2 linked regions of the Oryctolagus cuniculus genome follow. The protein of the gene in region 1 interacts with the protein of each later gene in a pairwise test. Links are inferred from orthologs where the notes say so. Each region holds a gene or a part of one and is shown on either strand. Other genes may lie near its edges.

Region 1 (12,799 bases):
TACACACAGAGACACATGCGCACACACAGATGCATGTGTGCTTACATGGACACACATGCGTCCACACAGACATATCCCTAGAAATGCACGCACATTCCCACATAGACACATAGACACACACACACGCATACATACGCGCACACACGCACGCACTGTGCATTCACAGGGCTGAGCCACACACAATAGCTCTGCCCACCTTGGCTCGGCTCCAGGTCACCTACCTGCCGTTCACTGAGGCCTTCGACCGCGCCAAGGCCGAGAAGAGGCTGGTGCACTCGATCCTGCTGTGGGGGGCGCTGGACGACCAGTCCTGCTGAGGTGAGGGGGGACAGGGACCCTCAGCCCTGTCACGTCATGCCAGCGCCACTCTCCTGGAAGAGTCCCGAGGGCATGGGGCGTGCGGAGAGGAAGCTTCCGGACACAGAAGAAGGGGCAGACTAGGCTCAGACCCCACGCTTTGTAGCCTGGCGACCTTGACAGAGTGACCCCCACCCCGTCCCCAGCCTGCGCTGGCTCCCCTCCCCCCAAAGCCAGTACTGTCCCCACCCCCACCCCCAGCCTGTGCTGGCTCCCCTCCCCCCAAAGCCAGTACTGTCCCCACCCCCACCCTGAGCCTGCGCTGTCTTCCCAGAGGACACTGGAGTTGGCCCCCAGAGCTGTGAGGATGGTGGCAGCACAGCCTGACCCTTGAGAGAGTTGCACACACGTGAGAAGGGACAGGGCACGCTCTAGGGCATCACACATGCGTGGTCAGGGGGAGGGGCAGAGGCCGGAGCAGACGCGGCCCCGGAGACCTCAGGGTGTCGGGTGTGGGCACAGAGATGAGTGCCCGCAGCCAGCCAGTCCCAGGTCCTGGGCTCCTGCTGCCGACCAGGATGAGGAAGGGGGGTGGGGGGCCCCTGACTTAGGGAGCGCACAGTGTGGTGCAGAGGCTGACGCTGAGCGAGGAAGTGCAGGCGAGGTGAGTGTCACACGAGGCCAGAGTGGCGCCGGATGTGGCTGGGGCATCGAGGAAGGCTTCTTAGAGAAAGTGACTTTTCAGCGGAGACCCTAAAGGACTGGGTAGGAGTTTGTCAAGTGACAGGAGGGTGTTCTGGGTGGAGGGACCATCTGTGCAAAGGCCCTGGGGCACAGAGAGGTCCATGGATGTAAGGGGCTGTAGCTGTCTACAGATCCCTGAGTCATGTAGACCCCCCACCCCACGCCTCCGCCCTGCAATCCAGGACGGCACCGAGGCAAATTGTGGTCACCAGCTGCTCCCCGCCTACTCTGAGGCAGCTCTGTCTGTCTCCCGGGGCAGGGCCCACTGTGGGGCCCCGGACACTTGCCCAAAGCCAGACTGTTGCTGATGGAACCCCCTTGCCACCCCTCTGGACAGGTTCGGGGCGAACTCTCCGGGAGACTGTCCTGGAAAGTTCGCCCGTCCTCACCCTGCTCAACGAGAGCTTCGTCAGCACCTGGTCCCTGGTGAAGGAGCTGGAGGACCTGCAGGTGAGCGGGCAGGTGCGCGGGCAGGTGCACAGGACAGCCCCGCAGGAGCCCGGGTCCGGCCTGGGGCGGAGAGCTCAGGAGCGCCCCTGTCCCCGCAGAACAATCAGGGGAACCCGTCCCACCGGGAGCTGGCCAGCCTGCACCTGGAGAAGTACAGCTTCCCCGTGGAGATGATGATTTGCCTGCCCAACGGCACCGTGGTAGGCACCCCCGCACCGGCCCGCGGGCCGCAGCCGCGCCCGCCTCGCCCAGCTTCGGGTCTGGCGCTGCCTCCTCTTGACTGCGAAGCCCTGAGCTAGTCTCCTGACCAGCCTGGGCCCGGTCACTCACATCCATACGTGGGGACGCTCCAGCGGGAAGGGCGACTCTCACCACTCCCTGGGCAGCAGCCAGCACGGCCCAGGGCCAGTCAGCACAGCCCTGGGAAGGAAGGGAGCAGAGCCAGGCAGGGTGCCCCAGGGGCGGGCCCAGCCTGAGCCAGGGTTCAAGGCCCGCCCCTGCCTGAGGACCCCTTGGGCGGCCTCACCCACGTCTCTCCTGGGGGCCTCACAGCAGCCTTGGGAGGCAGAGGATCTCTAGGGACAGGGAGGCTTACAAAGGCTCCGGGACGGGGCCAGAGTAGCAGACGGTGACGAGGGGCAGCTGGTGGCGAAATGAGCTGGCTGCGGCGAGGCAGCTGGGGGAGCAGCCCTGGCGAACGTGGGCAGCAGGGGTCATGGAGCTCAGGGGCGCAGGAACGGAGGACAGAGGCCATTTTGAGCGGTGGGGGTCAGAGAGGTGGTGAAGGTGACATGGGAGGCACTGGGGTTTTGCCCTGAGGCCGGGGTGGGGAGGAGCTCCATCATTGTCGGGCCCTGCGGGAGCAGAGGCAACAGAGGGTGGCCGGCGGGGTCGGGGTGGGCCACAGCCCGTCGCTGCACCGCCTTCCACTGTCGCCCCAGAGTGGCCAAGCCGGGGCCCTCCTCACCCAGCCCCTCCCCTAGGTCCACCACATCAACGCCAACTACTTCCTGGACATCACCGCCCTGAAGCCCGAGGACGTGGAGAGCAACGTCTTCCGCTTCTCGTCCACCTTCGAAGACCCGTCCACGGCCACCTACCTGCGCTTCCTGCAGGAGGGGCTGCGGCGCGGCCTGCCCCTCCTCCAGCCCTAGCTCGGGGCGCCGGGTCTGCAGCCCCCACCCGGCTCCCAGTCAGCCAAGGGTGGCGGCCCTAGCTCTGCCCCGGAGACGGTGGCATGGGGAGGGACGCGGGGACACAGGTGGGGGGACCCCTAGCTCGGACCACCAGCAGCAGCCCCTGCCCACCCACCTGGCTCTGGAAGCTGCTGGGAGCTCCCCAGAATGCACCTGGGGCGCTCTCCCTGGGCCTCGCCTCACCCCACCCAGTCACACAGCCCGGGTCCTCACCAGCTGCGCTGTCCTTGCTTTGACCCCACTCCCAGAGGAAACTTCAAGGAGCCCCAGCCCGGGCAGCACTCCGTCTGTCTGGAGCCCTCTTCCCGGCCACGTGCCCTGCTGTGCCCGATGTCCCCGGCTGGGGCCGTCCCCGGTGGACACAACGTTCCAGAGCCTCTGGGCGGCGCCTCCCTTTCAGAAGTGGAAACTGCACTCACCCCTGTGCTCCCAGCCCACGCGGCGGCCTCGTGACGGGACACCGGAGCCCCGGCAGGGACTCACGGCGGCGCCAGCTGCCCGGGCTGGGCGTGTCTCCCTGCCTCCAGCCAGGAGCCCCGCTGAGGCTGGCCCTGAACCCGGGGCCCTGCAAGACGGCTGGTGCCCCTCCGACTTCTAACTCCTTGGAGGTCTGCCCAGCAGTCAAAGAACACAAGCTCCCCCGGGCCAGCTCTGTCTCGGCCACCAGGCGTGCCCAGACCAGCTTGCCCACGACCCCCGGGGTGAGGGCCAGAGGGGCAGCACAGCCGGCTCTCCTGGGCCACTCCTGAGCCATGGGCCATGCCCAGCCTCTTTTTTATACATGCAGAAAAGCGTTTTTACAGAACTTCCGCAGTTTGTAGGTATTTTGATAACCCCGTGATGAGAAGGGAGGGGCTGTAGCCCTCTGGCAGCAGCTCCATGACAGCTGGGTCTGAAACCCCAGAGGACCCAGCCTGATGTCCCTGCTGCTGTGCGGGTGGGACGATGGCCCCTCCCTTCTCTTCAGCTCTGACCTGCCCTCCGCCCGGCCCCAGGGCGCCCTGGGAACCTGCCTGGAGGTGGGGCCTCTCTCTGCCTGCCCCCTTCTCTGTCCTCCACCCCAGGGGTTCACCTCTCCCTCACCCGCCCTCCGTGGGAGTGCCCACACGGAGCCAGCCACGTTCCCCACGCCGTGTCGGGTATAAATCAGCAGCAGGTGCTGAGCCAGCTACGATGACGCGTCCTTGTGTTCTCTCGCATCCAGCCTGCAGGGGGGCAGGGCATGGTCAGCGGGCCCATTTTGCGGGTGACTTGAGGCTCAGGAAAGGGACAGGACTCTGAAGTCACCCAGAGTGGGGGAACTGAGATTCAAGCCCACGGGTGACTCTGAAACCTACATCTTGATTGTGTGTTGGGGGGGGACGGCTTGGTGCTGCACCCCCCCCCCCAACTCCCTGCCCATTTTCCCTGGGTGGAAGGATAGCCCAGACCCAGACTGTCTCAGTCTCCCCAGGCCTGCAGACAGGCGGGGCGCACGCCAGCGAGCACGGCCAGGTTCTCCGTCCTGACGGGCTGGAGGGCGCCTGAGCTGGCAGCGCATCCCCTGAGCCTCCCTCCGGGTGCCAGCACACACCTGCCTCCCCCACCCCGGCAGGTTCCACCTTGTGCTGCTTGGGGAGGGCAGGCTCCACACGGGACTGTCCTAGTCCTGGGCGACGTGCTGGATGCTTGGGCTTCCAGTCTCCACCAGGGACCTCTGCCTGTGCTCCACTGGGTCTTGAGGCCCCCAGCCGCCTCTTGTCCTTGCTCTGCCACCTCCCTCCCTGGGCCCATACATGTCCTCGAATCTGTTCTCTCCTCCCCCAGTCCAGCCCCTCCGTCGATGGGACTGGCTGTGCAGAGTGGAGCTGGAATGACTGGCGACCGGCTTATCTGTCACCAGAGAGCCTGAGTGCCTTGCCAAAATGTTTGTGGTAGACCACGTGGTGAACTTACCATTTTCAAAGTCTGGTGTTCTGTATTGAAAAAGATTCTGAAGTTAACCCGTTGTCTTAGACGAAGGGCCTGAGCCAGGCCTTAGGCGATCTTTTTCAAAATTATGTATTTATTTGAAAGGCACAGAGACAAATCTCGCATCTGGTGGCTCACTCCCCAAAAGCCCACAACCCTAGGAACTAGTTGGCCAGGCCAACGCTAGGAACTAGGAACTCAATCCAGGTCTCCCATGTGGGTGGCAGGGGCCCAAGCACTTGGGGCACCCTGTGCTGTTTTTCCCAGGCCATCAGCAGGGAGCTGGATCAGAGGTGGAACAGCTGGGACATGAACGGGTGCCCATATGGGATGCCAGCATCACAGGTGGCAGCTTTACCCACTGTGCCACATTGCCGGCCAGGATTTATTCATTTGAACCCAGACATTCTGATGGGGGCTAGGGGTGTCCTACCCAGCATGTCAACTGCTGGGTCAAACACCCGCCCTCATGGATATGATGTGCACTTCAGGAAAAGACCTGTAAAACGACAAGGGAGCAGAAGAGGGAAGGGTTAGGTTAGGGTCTCAGCGCCCGGGCTCGGCCGCATCTACGGGGAGGCTGTGGGTCACAAACCACACTGCACAGCTGTGCCAGCCTTTCACATCTCGACCAACCAGCTACTGGCCTGGGAGCAGAAGAGTAAACGCCCAGGTTGGTGGGCTTCGTCCTCCTTCTGCAAGGGGAGCCGGGTGAGACGCCACAATTATACACCCAGGAGAGGCGGCATGAGGCTTGGACCCGGGAGGAACAAAGCATGATTTGCCGTCCTGGAAAAAGAGCTGGACTCTTCCAAGACGGATGTCCTCTGAGGCGTCTGGCCAGGACCAGCTTTGTATCTGCAAGGCTCTGCAAAGTGAAAATGCAAGACCCCCAGTGTAGAAATCATTAGTAATTTCAAGAGGGCAGCTGCAGAGCACTGAGCTGAGTGTGCGGTTCTGGAAATGGGGCTCTGTGGGACTGCACAAGCTGTTCACCCATGAAGCCGGCCCGGGCACACGGGATTCAGGCATTGGGACCAAGGGATTGCATCCCAGGAGCCGGGCACGGCCTTAGGCTGGGGTCAGAGAAGAAACGGTGGCCTAGGAACTAGGTGCCACCGAGACCAGGAGTGAGGGAGTTGGTCTGACCAGTGTGGGTCTCTCTGCCAGGGCTTCTGGGGTCTGGCCCGCCTAACCGATTTTGGAAGGTGCCGCCTGTAGGACCAGTGCAGTGGTGCAGTGGGCTGGGCCGCAGGGTGGGTTGCCCACAGCCCATAGTGCTGGGCTGTGCTGCTTCTGACCCCCTTCCCCCAGTGTGCAGCAGAGGATACCCGAGTACCTGGACACTTTCACCCGCGCGGGGGACCCACACGGAGTTTCCGGCTCCTGGTTTCCGCCTGGGCGGGCTGTGGCTCTTGCGGGCATTTGAGAAGTGAACCAGCTTCCCTCCCACTTTTTTTTTTTTTTTTTTTTTTGGGTCATTCTGCCTTTCAAATAAATAAACTTTTAAATATATATGTGTGTGTATGTATATACATATACATACACACACATATATATATGCCATGTGGCTGTGCGTCTAAGGGTGAGATAAAGGCTAAGACAGAAGAAAGCCCCAAAGACTGGGGAGCCCATTCTCTTGGGGGAGGCCCACGGACTCGAGGGCCACGCAGAGGAAGCGCCAGAGCCCGGGGTGGGGGGCAACAGACCCCGCATATTTTAAAGGCCGAGCTGGGCAGACCTCGGCTTCCGGAAGTCGAAGGCGTACAAACGTGAAAAGCAACAAAGCGACGGCGACCCGCGCCGGAAGCGACGAATCAGCACCCTCGGGGATCTCCAGGCGCTGCCTGCGGACGGGGGCGTGCCCCGCCCCGCCCCCTCATAGGCCGCGCCCCCATCCCCGCCCCCTCAGAGGCCGCGCCCCCATCCCCGCCCCCGCCCTGGGCCCGCCTGCCGAGGGCGCGCGGGGGCGCGGCTCGGTGCGCAGCTGCAAAGGATCGCTTCCGGGGGGGGCGGGTCAGCGGAAGTCGGGGCGGTTGAGGCCGGGCTGCTCGCTGAGGTAGGAGGGGCCGTGAGGTGAGTGAGTCCCGGAGCCACAGTCTGAGGTGAGCAGGGTCCGAGGGCGGCCGGAGAGACAGAGGCGCGGCCTTCCGGCCCGGCCGCAGGCGGGGTCTCGGCGCCAGGCGCTGTGCGGGGCCCGCGGCTCCTGTTCCCGCGCGACTTCTCGCGGGAGCCGCCGCCGTCCGCTTCCTTTGGCACGGGGAAGCCGAGTCCCCGAGAGGGTAGTTACTCCTCCGAGCCGAGGCCGACCGGAGGGTTCGGCCCTTCGGAGACCCGGCCACGGGGCCTGTGGGGCGCTGGGGCGCTGGGCTGCTGGGCAGGCGGCGAGGACCTGGCCGACCTTGATCCGGGCCGGCGGGGTGTTGCGGGGGCGGGGACGCGCGTCCTGGCTGGGTCCCAGCGGCGGCTTCCCCGCGCAGCTGCGTGGGGGCCTGGCGGCGAGACCCACCGCGCGGGGCTCCGACCGTCGGTGCGCGCCGCGAAGTTTGCGCCCGGGCCGGGGTGCGGAGACGGCCCTGCTTGGAGCAGCGCCGTCTCCCCGGGGGGACGCGCGTGAACGGAGCGTGACGGCGGCCTCGGAAGGGGCGGTGGGGGCGCAGCAGCGCCGACGGCCCAGCAGTGTTGCCAGCCCGCAGCCCTTGGGGCGGGGAGCTTGGAGGCCGAGCTGGCAGTCTCCGGCTCCACGGATGTTCGAGCGCTTAGTCTGTTCCGGCAGATGCCGTGCGGCCCCTCCGGGAACCGCAGTTCGCGGCGGTGCTGCAGGGAACTGGGGCGCCCCCGACCCGGGCAGGACGGACGGTGACGCTGGGGCCGAGAAGCGGGTGCTGGCGTCGCCTGCAAGGGCGCGGGAGGTGTGGCCGTGACGCGGGGGCCGCCCCGCACCGGCCTCGCGGGGCAGTCTGGGGTCCAGGTTCTATCTTGTCGTCTCTAGCCAGCCAGTTTTAATCATAGAACCGAAGTGTTTGGGAAAATGCCTGCAGCTGTTGCATCAGGCCCACCGGAGGAAGTGGCCGTAAGGATTTGAGACAGAGGCACTGGGGCGCAGATGAAAGGCTTGGACTGAGGAGTGGAGGCAGCGACACCCGGGCCAGCCCCGGGGCCCTTCCTCCTCCAGCTTCCCTTCCCCGACACCTGCTTTCCCAAGGGGGAGACCCTCCGGGGGAACTCGCCAAAAGAGCGGCTTTGCCAGTCTCTGCTCCGCAGTGACCTCCCCCGGCGTCCCCAGCCCTCAGGACTTCACCCCCAGCCTGCCTCGTTGTCTTCTCATACTCCACCCCTCACCTTCCTACTCCCTCTGAACTCACCCAGCCTCCTCCTCAGTGAAAGTCACTGTCCGGGTCCCATCTCAGCTGGGTGAACAAGGGAATGCATAGGAGCGGACTGCACCTGCCAGGAGTGACCCCTTCCATCTGTGGCGTGTTTAACGGTTCATTAAGCACTTAAACCCATTTCACCGAACCTTAAGGTCAAGTGGAGAACCATTCAGAAAGATTAAATGACCTGCCGGAGGCTACAAGACGGCAGGTGGCTGAACCAAGATGCAGATTTGGGGCTCTTCTCCCCCCTCTGTTCACTCTCCTGCTGCCGCTCCAGCCCCTGGCAGGGGCCCAGCAATGCTTTTCCAACCCTAAGAATGAATGCTGGGCTTGGACAGTACCTTCCTTTTGGCTCTCCCATGAACTTTGTACATACCAACAGGTTCTATTTATGTCTTTAGAACATATTTTCTATTTATGTCCTTTTGCCTCAAGAAACCTCAGGGCCCAGGGAGGTTCCCCAGGTTGGCCGAGCTCACCCACAAAGTCGAACAGAACCTTTAGGGGCCTGGATTTGGAGCCTGTGGTGGGTGAAGGCAGCCTCTTGGAGTGGTTTTCTCCTCGTGTGAAACAGAAGTCTTGGTGTAGTCGAGGCTCTGCAGGGCCTACTTTTGTGGGGCTTGTGGCCACTGAGTTCCCACTGTGGGGGTTGTTTCACAGGAAGGAAAATCGGACATTCCTCAAGATGGCCTGATGTGCAGGCGCCACACCTCCCGCCTCTCCCTGCTGCCGTGGCTGCCCTGTCCAAGTGCAGGAGCTGGCTGCGATGTCGGGAATGGAAGCCAATGTGGTAAGGGACACTCCCAGGGCAAGGTGTGGTGGGAGAGTGGAGCACCGAGCCAGCCCAAGTACAGTACGAGGTTCTGACTCCCGCAATCCTTCTCCCTGGAGGCCTGGAACTGGAGCAAGGCTGCCCTTCCATCCCCTTCTCTGAGGAATCTGCTAGGCACTGGAGAAGTTTCAGGGCTCAACGTATTTCCACCTTCCTGTGCAGAGGGAGGGGAGGGGCACCTGGATGATCCCTGTACCCAGCTAACTCCTGGCCCCTTCACTGGGCTTCCTGACACTGACTGCCCCAGCAGCAGCATGTCCCTTGGGTGCTGGCTGTTGAGGAGCCTGTCCTCACTCATAGTAGAGACCTGACTTAGCCCCAGAGGGTACCCTGCCTCTGAGATTTGGAATCCAGTCTTCCTGCTAGAGTGGGCAGGGACAAAGGTAGCTGGACTCGCTGTCTCTGAAGTTGTGGCCATCCTGTCCCTCTTTGCCTAGACTATCCCAATCTGGCAAAACAAGCCTCACGGAGCTGCCCGAAGTGTGGTGAGGAGAATTGGGACCAACCTACCCTTGAAGCCGTGCCCCCGGGCAGCCTTTGAGGTGAGTGTGCTGAGGGCGAGGAGAGAAGAGGCTCTGTGCCTCAGACCTGTTGGTGTGTGCCAAGGCCAGCTGCCTTCCTGCTTACTTTTTCATTTGATCAAGAAGTATTTAGTAAGTGGTCCAGATAGCTCCTGCTCACGGTACCTTCTGATTGCACACACACCTGCGGCTACACGGCCTTCCAGTCTGTTCATGAGTGAACACTGACATCCTGGTGGCCTCTGCTGAGACTCTGATTTCATCGGCTTCAGCAGTTTATCAGAGCAGGCCAAATCTGCATGACTGTGCACATCTGCGCTCGAGCTGTTTGCCAACAACCCGAGGGTCTCCACGTGGGTCACTGAGTGTTATATTGACTCTTGAGAGCGATCTCTTCCATCTGCTGGTTCACTCCCTAAACGGCTGCAAAGGCTAGAGCTGGGCCAGGCTGAAGCCAGGAGCTCGATCTGTGTCTCCCGTGTGGGTAGCAGAGGCCCAGGTATTGGATCATCTGCTGCTTCACCAGGTACATTAGCTTAGCAGGGAGCTTAATCAGAAATGGAGCAGCCAGGACTCAAACTGGCTCATATGGGATGCCGGTGTCACAGGTGGTAGCTTAAACCACTATGCCAGCCCATGTGTGTCTCTTGAGCTTAACTCTCTTCTTCAGCTCTAAGTCCTAAGACTTGGCCACTTAGCCACTTGTAGTGTTTCTGAGGCCTTACTCCCCCCGTCTTCCTCTTTCTGGCTAAGTCTGGCCACTCCTTTACCAGGCTACTTCAGTGTTACCTCCCTGTCTGGGAGACTTTAGCTCTTCTTCTGTAGCAGAGTTCTGCCTGGCCCAGGTCTGAGACCTCCTCCTACCCTGAACGCTGAGCAGCATCTGTCAGTCCCAGCTGCCTCCCCCAGGAACCAACGGTGAAGCATCAGTTCCAGACTGCTGGTTAAGGTGTCTGTGCTCAGGACGCTGGGACACACCCACCTCTGCTTTCTGTCTATGCAGAGGAAACCCACATACGAGTGAAAGGTGTGCCCAGGCAGGAAGAGAGTGAAGGAGCTTGTATATCAGATGCTAAAGTGCAGGCTGTGTAGGAACTGGATCTGGAGTTGGAAGTGGTATCAGGCTTGGTGTTAGTTCAGGAATGAGGTTGGAAAGGGCTATCCCATAACCCAACTTGCCAATCACCCAGAATTGCCTAATTGGCAGGGGCAGGAGGACGTGGGTCCCAGCTGCCTTGGAAGCACTGGACAACAGGGAAAGACGGCTAAGCGTGACTGACCCCGTGCAGGGTGCCCCACGCTTGGCTGTCTCCCCTGCAGGCCTTGGACAGATGCTGCCAGGCACAGGCTCCCTCAGAGCAGCAGGGAGGAGCAGTGACACTGACGAGGGGCACACACTGTGCAGGCACTTCCCACATTACCTCGGTTAACTGCCCACAGCGAAGGGACATTCACAGCTAATCCCGGAAAGCAAACATGGCTCTCCCTGAATGGCTCACTCTGGCAATAGCTCTGGGTCAGTGACACTCATCCTCCTCGTGCCCTTGGAGTGTCACTTAATTCCTGTCAGTCCCAGGTTCCCTATCTAAAAGCAAGAACTGGCAACCCCTCATCCACCTAATAAACAATTTGTAACAGATGGAATTTAACTCATGCAGGTGTGCTACTGTCTTAATTATACCTAGATTTCTGTAAATCATCTTAAATATTAAAAGGAATCTTATTTTTAAAATTTAGCCCTATAAAAATTGTGAAAAGTAGGCTGGCGCCATGGGTCACTTGGCTAATCCTCCACCTACGGCACTGGCATCCCATATGGGCACTGGGTTCTAGTCCTGGTTGCTCCTTTTCCAGTCCAGCTCTCTGCTGTGGCCTGGGAAGGCAGTCGAGGATGGCCCAAGTGCTTGGGCCCTGCACCCGTGTGGGAGACCAGGAGGAAACACCTGGCTCCTGGCTTCGGATCGGCACAGTGCTGGCTGTAGCAGCCATTTGGGGGGTGAACCAATGGAAGGAAGACCTTTCTCTCTGTCTTTCTGTCTGTCTCTCTCTCACTGTCTAACTCTGTCAAATAAGTTGAAAAAAAAAAATTGTGGAAAGTAAAATAAGTTACCTAGAATCACACCATGACACAGCCACAAGAAATTTCCCGTGGCTAGAACAGATTTTTGATGACCCTGTACCCATACATTCTTTTTTTTAAAAGATTTATTTATTTATTTGAAAGAGTTACACAGAAGAGGAGGCAGAAAGAGATCTTCCATCTGCTGGTTCATTCCTCAAATGGCCGCAACGGCCAGAGCTGTGCCGATATGAAGCCAGGAGCCAGGAGCTTCTTCCAGGTCTCCCACGCAGGTGCAGAAGCCCAAGGACTTGGGCCATCTTGTACTGCTTTCCCAGGCCACAGTAGAGAGCTGGATTGGAAGTGGATCAGCCGGGTCTTAAACCGGCGCCTATATGGGATGCTGGCACTGCAGACAGCGGCCTTACCTGCTATACCACAGCGCCAGCCCCTGTACCCATATTCTCACAATCAAAGGGCAAGATGGCCATCTCTGTTTGTTTAATAATTATTTTATTTGAAAGGCAGAATTACAGACTAATCTTCCATTCACTGATTTATTCCCCAAAGATCCAAAACAGCCAGAGCTGGGCCAGGCTGAAGCCAGGTCTGACATGGTGGCAGGAGCCCAAGTACTTGAGCCATCATCCACTGCTTCCCTGGTGCATCAGCAGGGAGCTGGATGAGATGCAGAGTAGCCAGGACTGGAACCAGGTCTTCTTGTGGGATACAGGCGTCCCAAGCAGTGGCCTAATCTGGTATACCACAACACCTGTCTCATGGCCAGCCCTGTTAAAAGATCACTCAGGCCAGCTGGGAAGGCATGGGAGACCAGGAGGAAGCACCTGGCTCCGGATCAGCGCAGCTGCAACCATTGTGGCCATTTGGGGAGTGAACCAATGGAAGGAAGACCTTTCTTTTTTTTTTTTGTTTTTTGTTTTTTGTTTTTTGACAGGCAGAGTGGACAGTGAGAGAGAGAGACAGAGAGAAAGGTCTTCCTTTGCCGTTGGTTCACCCTCCAATGGCCGCCGCGGCTGGCGCGCTGCGGCCGGTGCACCGCGCTGATCCGATGGCAGGAGCCAGGAGCCAGGTGCTTTTCCTGGTCTCCCATGGGGTGCAGGGCCCAAGCACTTGGGCCATCCTCCACTGCACTCCTGGGCCACAGCAGAGAGCTGGCCTGGAAGAGGGGCAACCGGGACAGAATCCGGTGCCCCAACCAGGACTAGAACCCCGTGTGCCGGCGCCGCTAGGCGGAGGATTAGCCTAGTGAGCCGCGGCGCCGGCCCGGAAGACCTTTCTGTCTCTCTCTCTCACTGTCTGTAACTCCATCAAATAAATAAAAATCTTTTAAAAAAAAAATCACGCAGGCCAGT
Region 2 (12,126 bases), on another chromosome or scaffold:
TTGAACCCAGGAGCTCTGATATGGAAGCAAATTAATTCATATTTTAGTTCCCCTGGAACTGGGGAAAGCTTTAGTCATGATTTAGGTACTTCTATAAGGGCTACTTTACTTGTATGGCTATAGAATGTGGTTTTGTATGTATATATGTGTGTGTGTATTTTATATATATCTGTAAAATGGTAGGGAGACTGCTTGTGTCTTTGTGAGAGAAATGGTGTCAGTTCAGGTATATCTTCTGGGAAGGAGATCCTGAGATAGCATTAGAAAAGGAAGAGCTTTATTGTAGCATAAGATCTGTAAAAGTAAAGAAGGACAAATCAGGAAAAGTCTTTAGACTTTCTGTGAAAGAGAAGAGGAAGCAAAGTGGGGCAAAAGTGGTCCCAGATTGCAATGCAGATTTGACAGCCAACCCAGTAGGAGAGCTCCAAGCAAAGATTACTATTGGGAGGAGTCCTGCACTGAGCAGAAATGGCCAGATCTTATTCCTCCTACCCTGCTTAGTCATTGACTGGGGACTGCCTGCGAAGGGCACCACCTTGAGTTTGTGATGGATCCCAAAGCCACTGTAGCGGGTAACTCTGCTACTGTGAGTAGATGGGCAAGTTCTTTGTTAAGGGGGATCCAAATAGTGTTTATCTGCTTGGCTACTGCAGTGACTTAGCCTTCTCTCTCTCTCTCTCTCTCTCTCTTTTTTTTTTTTTTTTTTTTTTTGTGACTTAGCCTTCTAATTCAAATAAATAAGGTATAATTTTTAGAATAATGTGGTGACTGTTGCTTGATAGTGAAACAGTCGTCTTGTACTCCATTATAATTTGATCCTTCAACCCTTTGAGAAGCAGAGATCTGAGGTACCAATTTTTTATATGCATTTTTCAGTGTACATATTTATATACATTTCTCAGTGTATATAAATATATATGTATGTGTGTATATATATACATACATATAAATACATATATATAAACACACATATATATATAAATCTGGAGATGTCAGATTTGAAGACTGCCTTGCAAGTTTTTTAAAAGTCTCCTTTGTTTACCAAACTTCTAACCACCTTAGAAGTTTATCAGTGTATTTGAGTGCTATCCTAATATGATAATTAGGTTGATAAAACCGTGTGTTTTTGCTTGTAAACATCAAGACTTTAAAGTGTTACAGTCAGATTTTGGGTCAACTTGTTAAATACTGCATTGTGACCCATCTCATGGCTCGCACGAGATTTTCCTTTTTTTTTTTTTTTTAAAAAAAAACAATGAGATTGCTTTGGTAATCTTATTGTAATTGTCTACCTATGTGTTTCTTTTCTTAAAATTTATAAGAAATCAGAGTGAGAAGTAGAGCAGAACGCGTTTTATATCTTTATCATCGAGGTGCCAGTATAAACTCACTTATCTGTCCTTTAGACATTATTTTGCATTTTGATATCTTTATTACCAGATGCACATGACTGATTTTTCACAATTCTGACTTAACAAACTTATGAGCTAATTAGTATCCCTTTCATATATAGTCACCTTGGCAAATGATAGCACAGAGATGGATATTAGATGCTCTCCTTGTGTTCTTTGATATCGCTACTTCATGACAGCCAGCCAGTCAGTGGGATTAGAAGCAAACTTTCAGAGCAGCCTCTGTCTTAGAGTACTGAGTTAGGGGAGAGCTGGTTATGCTGCTCTGGAACCATGCCACTAAAGAAGTACCAGGAGGATTTTTCCACGTTCCAGGAAGACCTGGAGAATAAAGAAAGTCTGGTGTGAAATGATGCTACCCTATTAACTGAAGAGCCTTACATCTGGCAGTGTTCACCTGGGGGGAGGGGGTGGTAGGAACAGGAATAGGGAGGAAAAATGGAGGTTTTTCTCCCCTTGAGAAGCAGAGGAGAGTATTACATAATGAGAAAATTCTGTAAATTAAATTTTTGTTGTTTAATTCCCATCTCATGTTTTGCTAGAGAATTTGCTGAGATTGGAACATGTATAAAACAGCAGTTTTGACTTGTGAGGTCAACTTGGTGCTTACAAATTGACACTTGGATTGAGTTCAAAATCACTGTTATCTTTAGTTCTTTAACTGTGAAAAGAATTTCAGCTCTCTGTCACTCAGAATGACTCTGACATTATATTCTAATTTTAATCTCTTCCATAAATAAAAGCTTGTTATTAAAGTATTAAAGGATAGAACCTTTCATATTATATTTTTAGTCCTAGATTCCTTTCTGAAAAGAGTTTTTAAGATGGTAGTTTAAGGAGAATTTTAAATCCAGTTTGAGATATTTGTTAATTGGTACTTCAAGAGTTACACTGCTAATACAAGTTGCTTTTTTTTTTTTAAATATTCCTTTTTATTTGTGTGTGATGGGGGAAGAGATCAATCTTCTGTCTACTTGTTCACTCCCCAAATGCCTGCAACAGCCAGGGCTGGGTCAGGCAAAGCTAGGAACTTGAAACCCAGTCCAGGTTTCTTAACTGGGTGACAGGGACCTAACTACTTGAGTCATCACCTCCTGCCTCCTAGGAAGCTGGAATTAGAACCAGAGCCAGGGCTTGAACCCAGGCTTTCTGGATAAGGGATATAGGTTTTCCAAGAGGCATCTTAACTGCTGTGCCAAACACACATCCCAAGATGTATTTCCTAAGCCACTTGAGAATATCTAACAAGGGTATACTATAAATAGAAGCCACTGGAATGAAATGTGGCATTTCAGCTTTGAAATATCTGAGTTCATCTGGGGAACTTCTAAACTTCTAAGATTCTAGTTTGTGTGTGTGTGTGTGTGTGTGTGTTTTGAAGAATAATTTATTGGGGCCGGCACTGTAGTGCAGCAGGTTAATGCCCTCGCCTGAAGTGCCAGTATCCCAAATGGGTGCTGGTTCTAGTCCTGGCTGCTCCTCTTCCGATCCAGCTCTCTGCTATGGCCTGGAAAAACAGTAGAAGATGGCCCAAGTCCTTGGGCCCCTGCACCCACGTGGGAGACCCAGAAGAGGCTCCTGGCTTCAGATCGGTGCAGCTCTGGCTGTTGTGGCCATCTGGGAGCGAACCAGCAGATAGAAGACCTCTCTTTCTGTCTCTACCTCTCTCTGTAACTCTGTCTTTCAAATAAATAAAATAAATCTTTTAAAAAAAGATTATTTATTTGAGAGGTAGAGTTAGAAACAGAATGAGAGGTCTTATATCCACTGGCTTACTCCCCAAATGGCCAGGCTGTCAGAAGCCAGGAACCAGGAGCTTCTTTCGGGTCTCCCACATGGGTGCAGGGCTCAAGCACTTGGACCATTTTCTACTGCTTTCCCAGGCCATGGCAGGCAGAGAGCTGGATCAGAAGAGGAACAGCCGGGACATGAACTGGCGCTCATATTGGATGCATGCACTGCAGGTAAAGGCTTAACCTGCAACTTCACAGCACTGGCCCCCTAAGGTTCTAGTTTTCAGAAATTTTTAATTGGGGCCAGCACTGTGGTACAGTGGATTAAAGCACCAGCATCCCATATGGGCATGGGTTTGAGTCCCAGCTGCTCCTCTTTCTATCCAGTTCTCTTTATGGCCTGGGAAAGCAGTAGAAGATGGTCCAAGTCCTTGGGCCCCTGCACCCATATAGGAGATCCGGAAGAAGCTTCTGGCACCTGGCTTTGGGTCAGTGTAGCTCTGGCTGTTGCGGCCATTTGGGGAGTGAACCAGCAGATGGAAGACCTCTCTAGCAGTTTCAATCTCTCTAACTCTATCTTTCAAATAAATAAATCTTTAAAAAATGTTTTAAATGAACTTTTACTATTATTTGAAAGGCAGAGAGACAGAGACAGACAGAAAGGTCTTACATCTGCTGGTTCACTAATCAAAAAACCCAACAGCTGGGCTACTCTAGGCTGAAACCAGGATCCTGGAACTCTGTCTGGGTCTCCCACATGGGTGGCAGGTACTCAAGTACCCGGACTATTACCTACTGTCTGCCAGGGATCCTTGGCAGGGTGTGCATTAACAGGAAACTGGATCTGAAACAGAGCCAAGCACTCTGATATGGGATGTAGACATCCCTAGCAATGTCTTAACAATGTCTTAATTGCTGTGGCATATGCCTCTCCCTGAAGTTCTCTTCTCTCTCTTTTTTTTTTTTTTAGATATTTATGTATTTATTTGAAAGACTTTTCAGAAAGAGATCTTCCACCTGCTGGTTTATTCCCCAAATGGCTGCAACAGCCTGGGCTCAGCCAGGCTAAAGTCAGGAGCCAGGAGCTTCTTCTGAGTCTCCCATGTGGGTGCAGGGGCTCAAGTACTAGGGCCCCTGCTTTTTTTAGGCCAGTGGCAGGAAACTGGATCAGAGGTGGAGCAGCCGGGACAGGAACTGGCACTGCAGTATACTGGTATACTGGCACTGCAGGCAGTGGCTTTACCCGTGATGCCACAACACTGATCCCTCCCTGAAGTTCTTTATTTTAAAAGAATATTATAATAAATGGTGGTGTGTCCTTGCTGAAAATCTTTGTGGAAAAAAAGTATGCTTTATTTCTCTATGCCTTTTCTCAGTTATTTTATGTTGAAATAATACCTGACCTACAGAAAACTTTTAAAAATAGTAGAAAGGATTCCTGCATTCTACCTTCTGCATTTCACAACAAAGAACAACAGAAAGGATATATGAAAATGCATTACTTTGTAGGAGATAGATAAGTGCCATAGTCAGTCAACTTGAAGAACTATAATAAAAAGACAAAATGAGCCGGTTCCGACAGTTTTTAAGGCCTTGGATATATATTAAAAGGTGTGGATTTAACCAAACCTATTTATTAGTGAAATAAGGATTATGTTCTTAGAGTTATATGTACTTTTTTTTATTAAATTCAATTAATTAATTAGATATTAGATTTGTGCCATCCATTATGGTGACCTCTTACTGCATATGCTATTTAAATTAATTAAATAAAATTTTTTTCTTTACTTGCTTTGGTTACCTTTCAGGTACAGATAAAGAACATTTCTGTCATTGCAGAAAGTTACATTAGTAGAGCACTAGGCTTTTTTTTTTTTTTTTTTTTTTAAGATTTGTTTTTATTTGAAAGTCAGAGTTACACAGAGAGAGGAGAGGCAGAGAGAGAGAGAGAGAGGTCTTCCATCCGCTGGTTCACTCCCCAAATGGCTGCAGGGAATGGAATTGCGCTGATTCGAAGCCAGGAGCTTCTTCCAGGTCTCCCATGTGGGTGCAGGGGCCCAAGGACTTGGGCCATCTTCCAGTGCTTTCCCAGGCCATATCAGAGAGCTGGATCAGAAGTGGAGCAGCCAGGACTACAACCGGTGCCCATACAGGATGCTGGTGCTACAGGCAGCGGCTTTACCCACTATACTACAGTGCTGGTCCCTAGATGTTGATATGAAAAACTACAGTGGGATTTAAAAGTTTAAGAATGAGTACTTTTACTTGAGACATGGTTTATGAAATATACTTGTTTTATAAAAGATATGAAGTATAAATAAAGGAAAGAATGCATAAAAAATTTCTTTCTTAAAATAGCTAATATACTGCCGGTGCCATGGCTCAATAGGCAAATCCTCCGCCTGCGGTGCCCGCACACCAGATTCTAGTCCTGGTCCGGGTGCCAGATTCTGTCCCGGTTGCTCCTCTTCCAGTCCAGCTCTCTGCTGTGTCCTGGGAGTGCAGTGGAGGATGGCCCAAGTGCTTGGGCCTTGAACCCCATGGGAGACCAGGATAAGTACCTGGCTCCTGCCATCGGATCAGCGCGGTACACTGTGGCCATTGGAGGGTGAACCAACGGCAAAGGAAGACCTTTCTCTCTGTCTCTCTCTCTCACTGTCGACACACTCTGCCTGTCAAAAAAAAAAAAAAAAAAAAGAAAAAAAGAAAAAAGAAATAAAAGAACGTGATAGACAAGATACTTTCTGTTGCACTTTTATATTGCTTTTAAATTGAACAAAGCATCAAAGTGAAGGAAATAAGGGTCCTTAAAGTTGAGAAATAAGACTACAGAATAGTGAGTAGAAGGGCAGGACTGATTTAATTTGTATGTGTCTCTTTTCCAGAACTACAACTCCAGGAGAAACAAAACTCCTGGCCTCTGAAATCTATGACATTCTTCAGTCCTCTAATATGGCAGATGGCGATAGCTTCAGTGAAATGAATTCACGTCGAAGGAAAGCTCAGTTTTTTCTGGGAACTACAAACAAACGTGCCAAAACAGTGGTTTTGCATATAGATGGTCTTGATGATACGGTGAGAATTTTACAGACATATTGATCATAAGAGGAGCAAGAGAAATCGTGTCAGCAAGTTTTTTTTTTTTTCAGTGTCATTTGATGTCTTCAAGAGTAAAAGTCAGTATCAGTATTTTGTACTCATTTTATGCGAAAGACATCATTTCATCAGAGGACATAACAATATCAAGTACTTATTTCTTATTAGGCCTCTAATAAGAAAGCTTCCAAACACATGAAGCAAAAACTGACAGAAATGCTGGGAGAAATTGGCAAATCCATAGTTAGAGCTAAAGATTTGAACAGTACCCTCAATTATTACAAGAAGCATACAGAAAATCAGTAAGGGTATCAAATACTTGAATAATAATATAAATCATCTAAACCTAATTGATATTTATGCAATAGTCTTATCTCACAACAGGGTAATACTCAGTTTTTTTATGCACATGGAATATTCACCAGTAATAGACCATTTTGTGGGCCATAAAACATAATAAATTTAAAAGAATTAAAATCATAAAAGTGTGTTCTGTGAGCATAATGAAAAAAAAACTGGAAATCAGTAACAGAAACATAACCTGGAAAATTTCCCTGAAACTTCAAGAATCTGAGTTTCCAAAACAATCCATGCATTAGTAATAAATCAAAAGAGGAATTAGAAAGCATCTTGAATAATTATGAAAATATAACATCAATTTGTGGGGAGCAATTGACACAGTATTTAAGTGGAAATTCATTCACACAAAATGTTTACAAAAGAGGAAAGATAAGCTTCTACCCTAGAAAGGTAGAAAAAGAAGAGCAAATTAAAGCCAAAGCAAACAGAAGAACAAAACAAAAAAGAACAGAAATCACTGAAATGAAAAACAGTGTCAGTAACAGGACATCATTATAGCTCTTACAGATATTAAAAGGATAAAATAAATATTTTAAATAACTTTATACCAATAAACTTGATAATGCTGATGAAATGGGGAAATTTCTTGAAAGACAATTACCATAGCCCACTCAGGAAGAAATACATGACTGAATTTCCTCCATATCTATTAAGAAATAGAAGTTGCAATTAAAAACCAACTTCAGGCCCTGGGTGGCTATACTGGAAGAAATAATACCATTTGTACAAAATCTTTTCAAGTATTGTGGAATTCCATTAGCAATTCTGCATAACTTGTGATTCCTTATCAATTTATTCTTCACCCTTACACTAAGCACCAACCCTTATATCTTATATTTATAGCTATACTTAAAAGTGGATTTCTTCCAGGCCTCATCTAGTCAAGTGTTGCTTTTTTTTTTAAAGATTGATTTATTTTACTTGAAAGTCAGAGTTACGCAGAGAGAGAGGTCTTCCATCCGCTGGTTCACTCCACAATTGGCCACAGTGGCCGGAGCTGTGCCCATCTGAAGCCAGGAGCCAGGAGCTTCCTCCAGGTCTCCCACACAGGTGCAAGGGCCCAAGGGCTTGGGCCATCTTCCAGTGCTTTCCCAGGCCATAGCAGGGCGCTGAATTGGAAGTGGAGCAGCCAGGACTGGAACCAGCATCAATATGGGATGCCAGCACTGCAAGTAGCAGCTTTATCCACTATGCCAAAGCGTTGGCCCCAAGTGTTGCTTTTTTGATCTAATCTAAAAACCTGCCTTTTAACTGGAGTATTTGGGCCATTTACATTTAGCATGATTATTTATATGGTTGGATTTGAAACAGCCATTTTGCTGATTGCTTTCTATTTGCTCTGTCCTTTGTGCCATTTTTCCTCTTTTTTCCTGGCTTCTTTGGACTGATTGGAATTTTTTTTAAAAGATTTATTTATTTATTTGAAAGTCAGATTTACACAGAGAGAAGAGAGGCAGAGAGAGAGAGAGAGAGGTCTTCCATCTGCTGGATCACTCCCCAATTGGCCGCAACGGCTAGAGCTGCGCCAATTCAGAGCCAGGAGCCAGGAGCTTCTTCCAGGTCTCCCACATGGGTGCAGGGGCCCAAGGACTTGGGCCATCTTGTACTGCTTTCCCAGGCCATAGCAGAGAGCTGAATGGAAAGTAGAGCAGTCAGGTCTCAAACTGGCGCCTGTATGGGATGCCAGCACTGCAGGTGGCTTTACCCACTATGCCACAGCACCAGCCCCATTTAATATTTCTTAGAGTATATGTTTGGAATGAAATCTTTGTTTCTTTTACATATTTATGGGTGGCAACTGGCAGAACATCATTTATCCCTTTACCTATGCTAGGTAGGTTATAATAGATTATCCATAGCTTTTTCTAGTTATAGTATTTAGGTGCTCAGGCCTCAAGATTTAGGTTTTTGTACATAAAAAGGAGTCTTTATATAAAAAGTTCATGGAAAGTGAATACTATGATAAAAAATGTGCATGGATTTCAAAAATATTTGGGCCAAAATAAATTATTTTTAAATTATATTTTCTTCAAGCTTTTTGAAGTATTCTTATGAGAGGAAGCCTTCCTTATGCATATTATCTGTGACAGAGCCAAATGAGGTAACACCTGTCTTACTGAATTTGGAGCTACAAGATCTTGAAAAATGTTTAGGAAGCAAGTTCTGATAAATATAAATTGAATGCAAGATATTAAGATATTGAAATATCTTTAGTACCATCACATTGTAGTGACTAAGAATATAATTCTTTTTTAAAACTAGCACAAACCAAATAATAAAACCCAATAAAGCACTTAGAAAAACATAGGCCAAATATATAGCAAGAATGTGATTGCCAAAATACAAAAGAAAACACTAGCAAGTTAACACTAGCACTGCGTTATCTTGCTCAGCACTTTTTAGTGACGTAACCTGGCACTCAGGATAAGTATATTCCATTGATTATCTGATTTGATAATCAACTCCAAGAGGAATGTCATTATCTTATTTTTGTAGAATGGGAAATTGAGTTTTAGAATGGTTTAAATAACATATCCAAGTCACATAGGTGGAGGAAATGAAAAGATGAGTCAAGATTTGAATCTAGGTAGTGTGATTCCAGAATTGAGCTTTTTTTTTTTTTATTAAATTATTTATATGAAAGGAAGAGTGTCAGAGAGATATCTTCCATCAACTACTTGCTCACTCCCCAAATGGTGTACAACGTTCAGGGCTGGGCCAGATTGATGCCAGAAGCTGGAGCTCCATAGTGGTTTCTCATGTGGGTGGCAGGGGCCCCAGCCCAAGTACTTGGGCCATTTCCACTGCCTTCCCAGGTGCATTAGCAGGGAGCTAATCAGAGGAGGAGCATCCAGGACTCAAATGGGCACTCTGAAGTGGGACGTGGGTATGGGCTGCCAGCATTGCATATGATGTTTTAACCTTCTGTGCCACAACATCTGTCCCATCTTCTTTATAGGGTCAGGGAGTAAATATTCTGGGCTTAGCACATTGACATGGGTCTCTGTCAGCTTTCTGCTTAGCAGGAAACTCATGTCATATGATACATGAATGAGTGACTTTGGCCATGTTCCAGTGAAATGTCATCTACAAAATCAGCTGATGGATTGTAGTTTGCTCATGCTTCAGCTAGAGGACTGTCTTTTTTTCTGGTTTTTGGCATTTTTTTCCTGTACTTTTTGTTTAAAATGTGAATTAACTGACTAACTTTATTATTTTATTTATTTATTTATTTTTTAACTTTTATTTAATGAATATAAATTTCCAAAGTACGATTTATGGATTACAATGGCTTCCCCCCCATACCGTCCCTCCCACCCACAATCCTCCCCTTTCCCACTCCCTCTCCCCTTCCATTCACATCAAGATTCATTTTCGATTATCTTAATATACAGAAGATCAGCTTAGTATACATTAAGTAAGGATTTCAACAGTTTGCTCCCACACAGAAACATAAAGTGAAAAATAATGGATGATTTTTTTTAAATGATGATGAAATCAGATCAGACCTATTGTCATGTTTAATCCCAGTGAGAGTCAAGTTGGGAGTTGATAATTTCTTTTTTTTTTTTTTTTTTTTTTACAGAGGATCAGTTTAGTATGCATTAAGTAAAGATTTCAACAGTTTGCACCCCCATAGAAACACAAAGTGAAATATATTGTTTGAGTACTCGTTATAGCATTAAATCTCAATGTACAGCACATTAAGGACAGAGATCCTACATGGGGAGTAAGTGCACAGTGACTCCTGTTGTTGACTTTACCAATTGACACTCCTGTCTATGGCATCAGTAATCTCCCTGTGCTCCAGTCATGAGTTTCCAAGGCTATGGAAGCCCTCTGAGTTTTTATTTATTTGACAGGTAGGGTTACAGACAGTGAGAGAGAGAGAGAGAGAAAGGTCTTCCTTCCGTTGGTTCACTCCCCAAATGGTCACAATGGCCGGTACTGCACCGATCCAAAGCCAGGAGCCAGGTGCTTTCTCCTGGTCTCCCATGCAGGTGCAGGTGCCCAAGCACTTGGGCCATCCTCCACTGTACTCCTCAGCCACAGCAGAGAGCTGGACTGGAAGAGGAGCAGCCAGGACTAGAACCTGGCGCCCATATGGGTTGCCAGCGCCGCAGGCGGAGGATCAACCAAATGAGCCACGGTGCTGGCCCCCTGACTAACTTCTTACAAAGTTGTTAACAGTACAGAGGAGGGACACATATTTGACACAGCAGTTACGAGGTCACTTGGGGCACCCAAATACCATATCGGAGTGTCTGGGTTCATGTCCTAGCTCTACACCCCTTTCCCCCAAAATATAATGAAAATGACTAGTTTAGGATGATTTGAGTTGATGTCTTCCCTGTTATTATTTTATCATATTTAATGACAATTTCCTTTTATTTTTCAGTCTCGGAGAAATCTATGTGAAGAGGCTTTGTTAAAAATTAAAGGTGTTATTAGCTTTACTTTTCAAATGGCTGTGCAAAGATGTGTGGTGCGAATCCGTTCAGATTTGAAGGCGGAGGTTAGTATAACATAGCTGAAAAATGCCTAAGGTTACAGCTAAACAAATCAATGCTCAAAATTGATCCCTCTCATCCTGTTCCAGGCTTTGGCATCAGCGATAGCATCAACCAAGGTTATGAAAGCTCAGCAAGTTGTGAAAAGTGAAAGTGGAGAAGAGGTAAAGGTTGCATTTAGTTTGCTTTATATCTAATTCAGACTCTTGATTGTCTTTTATGGCTCACAGATTGCCAATATTTCTAGACAAGTAGATGCCAGCTGTTTAAGAATGTGATGTTTCTTGGTTAGCAGTTAACTGTCTTAGAAATATATACAGATCTGTTGTAGATTTCAGAATCTATTCTTTGAAGAAAATTTTCTCAGTGGAGATATTTTACTGAATTTGTATGGAAATATAGGATACTTGATTTCTTTGCATTGGATACTTGGTTTAATACTTTCTTCCCAATCTTAACTATTTTTCCAATCTAAAAAATAAAATGAAGGTACATCCCATTGGGGAAATAAATTTGGTCAAAATCTTTGCCTGTTGCTACTCTTTCCAGTAGCATTGTAATATGAAAATGAGTGTGAAATTTTAAAAAAGAGAAATGAATCTGAATGCCATGAGTTCATTTGGGTCTTCATTAATGGGAGGTTCCATGGCTCTCCAGGGACCCACATGGCCAGACATTAACTTTGGTCATCTTTTCATAGACATAGATTACTCATTTACTCCAAGATAGTTAAGTCAGCCTCTGAGTTCTCATTTGTTGTTCTTCCTTTTCTGTGTTTAGACCTTGCTCAGTGACTGGGACTACTGTCATGTAATGGGGACATTTTAGAAAGAACAGAGCCCCTGAGAATAAATGTGGTAATTAGAATGAAGAGCAAAGTTGACCCTCACCTTGATTTTGTGGTACTCTTTAATATGTTCTGTGTTCCAGATGCTGGTCCCGTTCCAAGATACTCCTATGGAAGTAGAGCAGAACACAGAGCTGCCTGACTACCTGCCCGAGGATGAGAGTCCC

Evidence for each region.
Region 2: the proteins of MTFR1L (region 1) and ARMC1 interact in binary tests that used the Homo sapiens proteins (3 or more experiments, as listed by UniProt). The two-hybrid records come from large-scale screens. The link is inferred for Oryctolagus cuniculus from reciprocal best matches to the Homo sapiens genes MTFR1L and ARMC1.

Annotation. Positions count from the first base shown.
Region 1 is NC_091438.1:145,591,057-145,603,855, reverse strand, and holds the start of MTFR1L (mitochondrial fission regulator 1-like), read left to right. Parts: upstream 1-6,574; 5' UTR 6,575-6,713; exon of another isoform or gene 6,714-6,742; intron 6,743-6,825; exon of another isoform or gene 6,826-6,919; intron 6,920-8,113; exon of another isoform or gene 8,114-8,222; intron 8,223-8,674; 5' UTR 8,675-8,780; coding exon 8,781-8,804; intron 8,805-9,283; coding exon 9,284-9,388; intron 9,389-12,799. UniProt on the Homo sapiens protein: Mitochondrial protein required for adaptation of miochondrial dynamics to metabolic changes. Regulates mitochondrial morphology at steady state and mediates AMPK-dependent stress-induced mitochondrial fragmentation via the control of OPA1 levels.
Region 2 is NC_091437.1:91,306,594-91,318,719, reverse strand, and holds part of ARMC1 (armadillo repeat-containing protein 1), read left to right. Parts: intron 1-6,030; coding exon 6,031-6,220; intron 6,221-11,000; coding exon 11,001-11,117; intron 11,118-11,201; coding exon 11,202-11,276; intron 11,277-12,042; coding exon 12,043-12,126.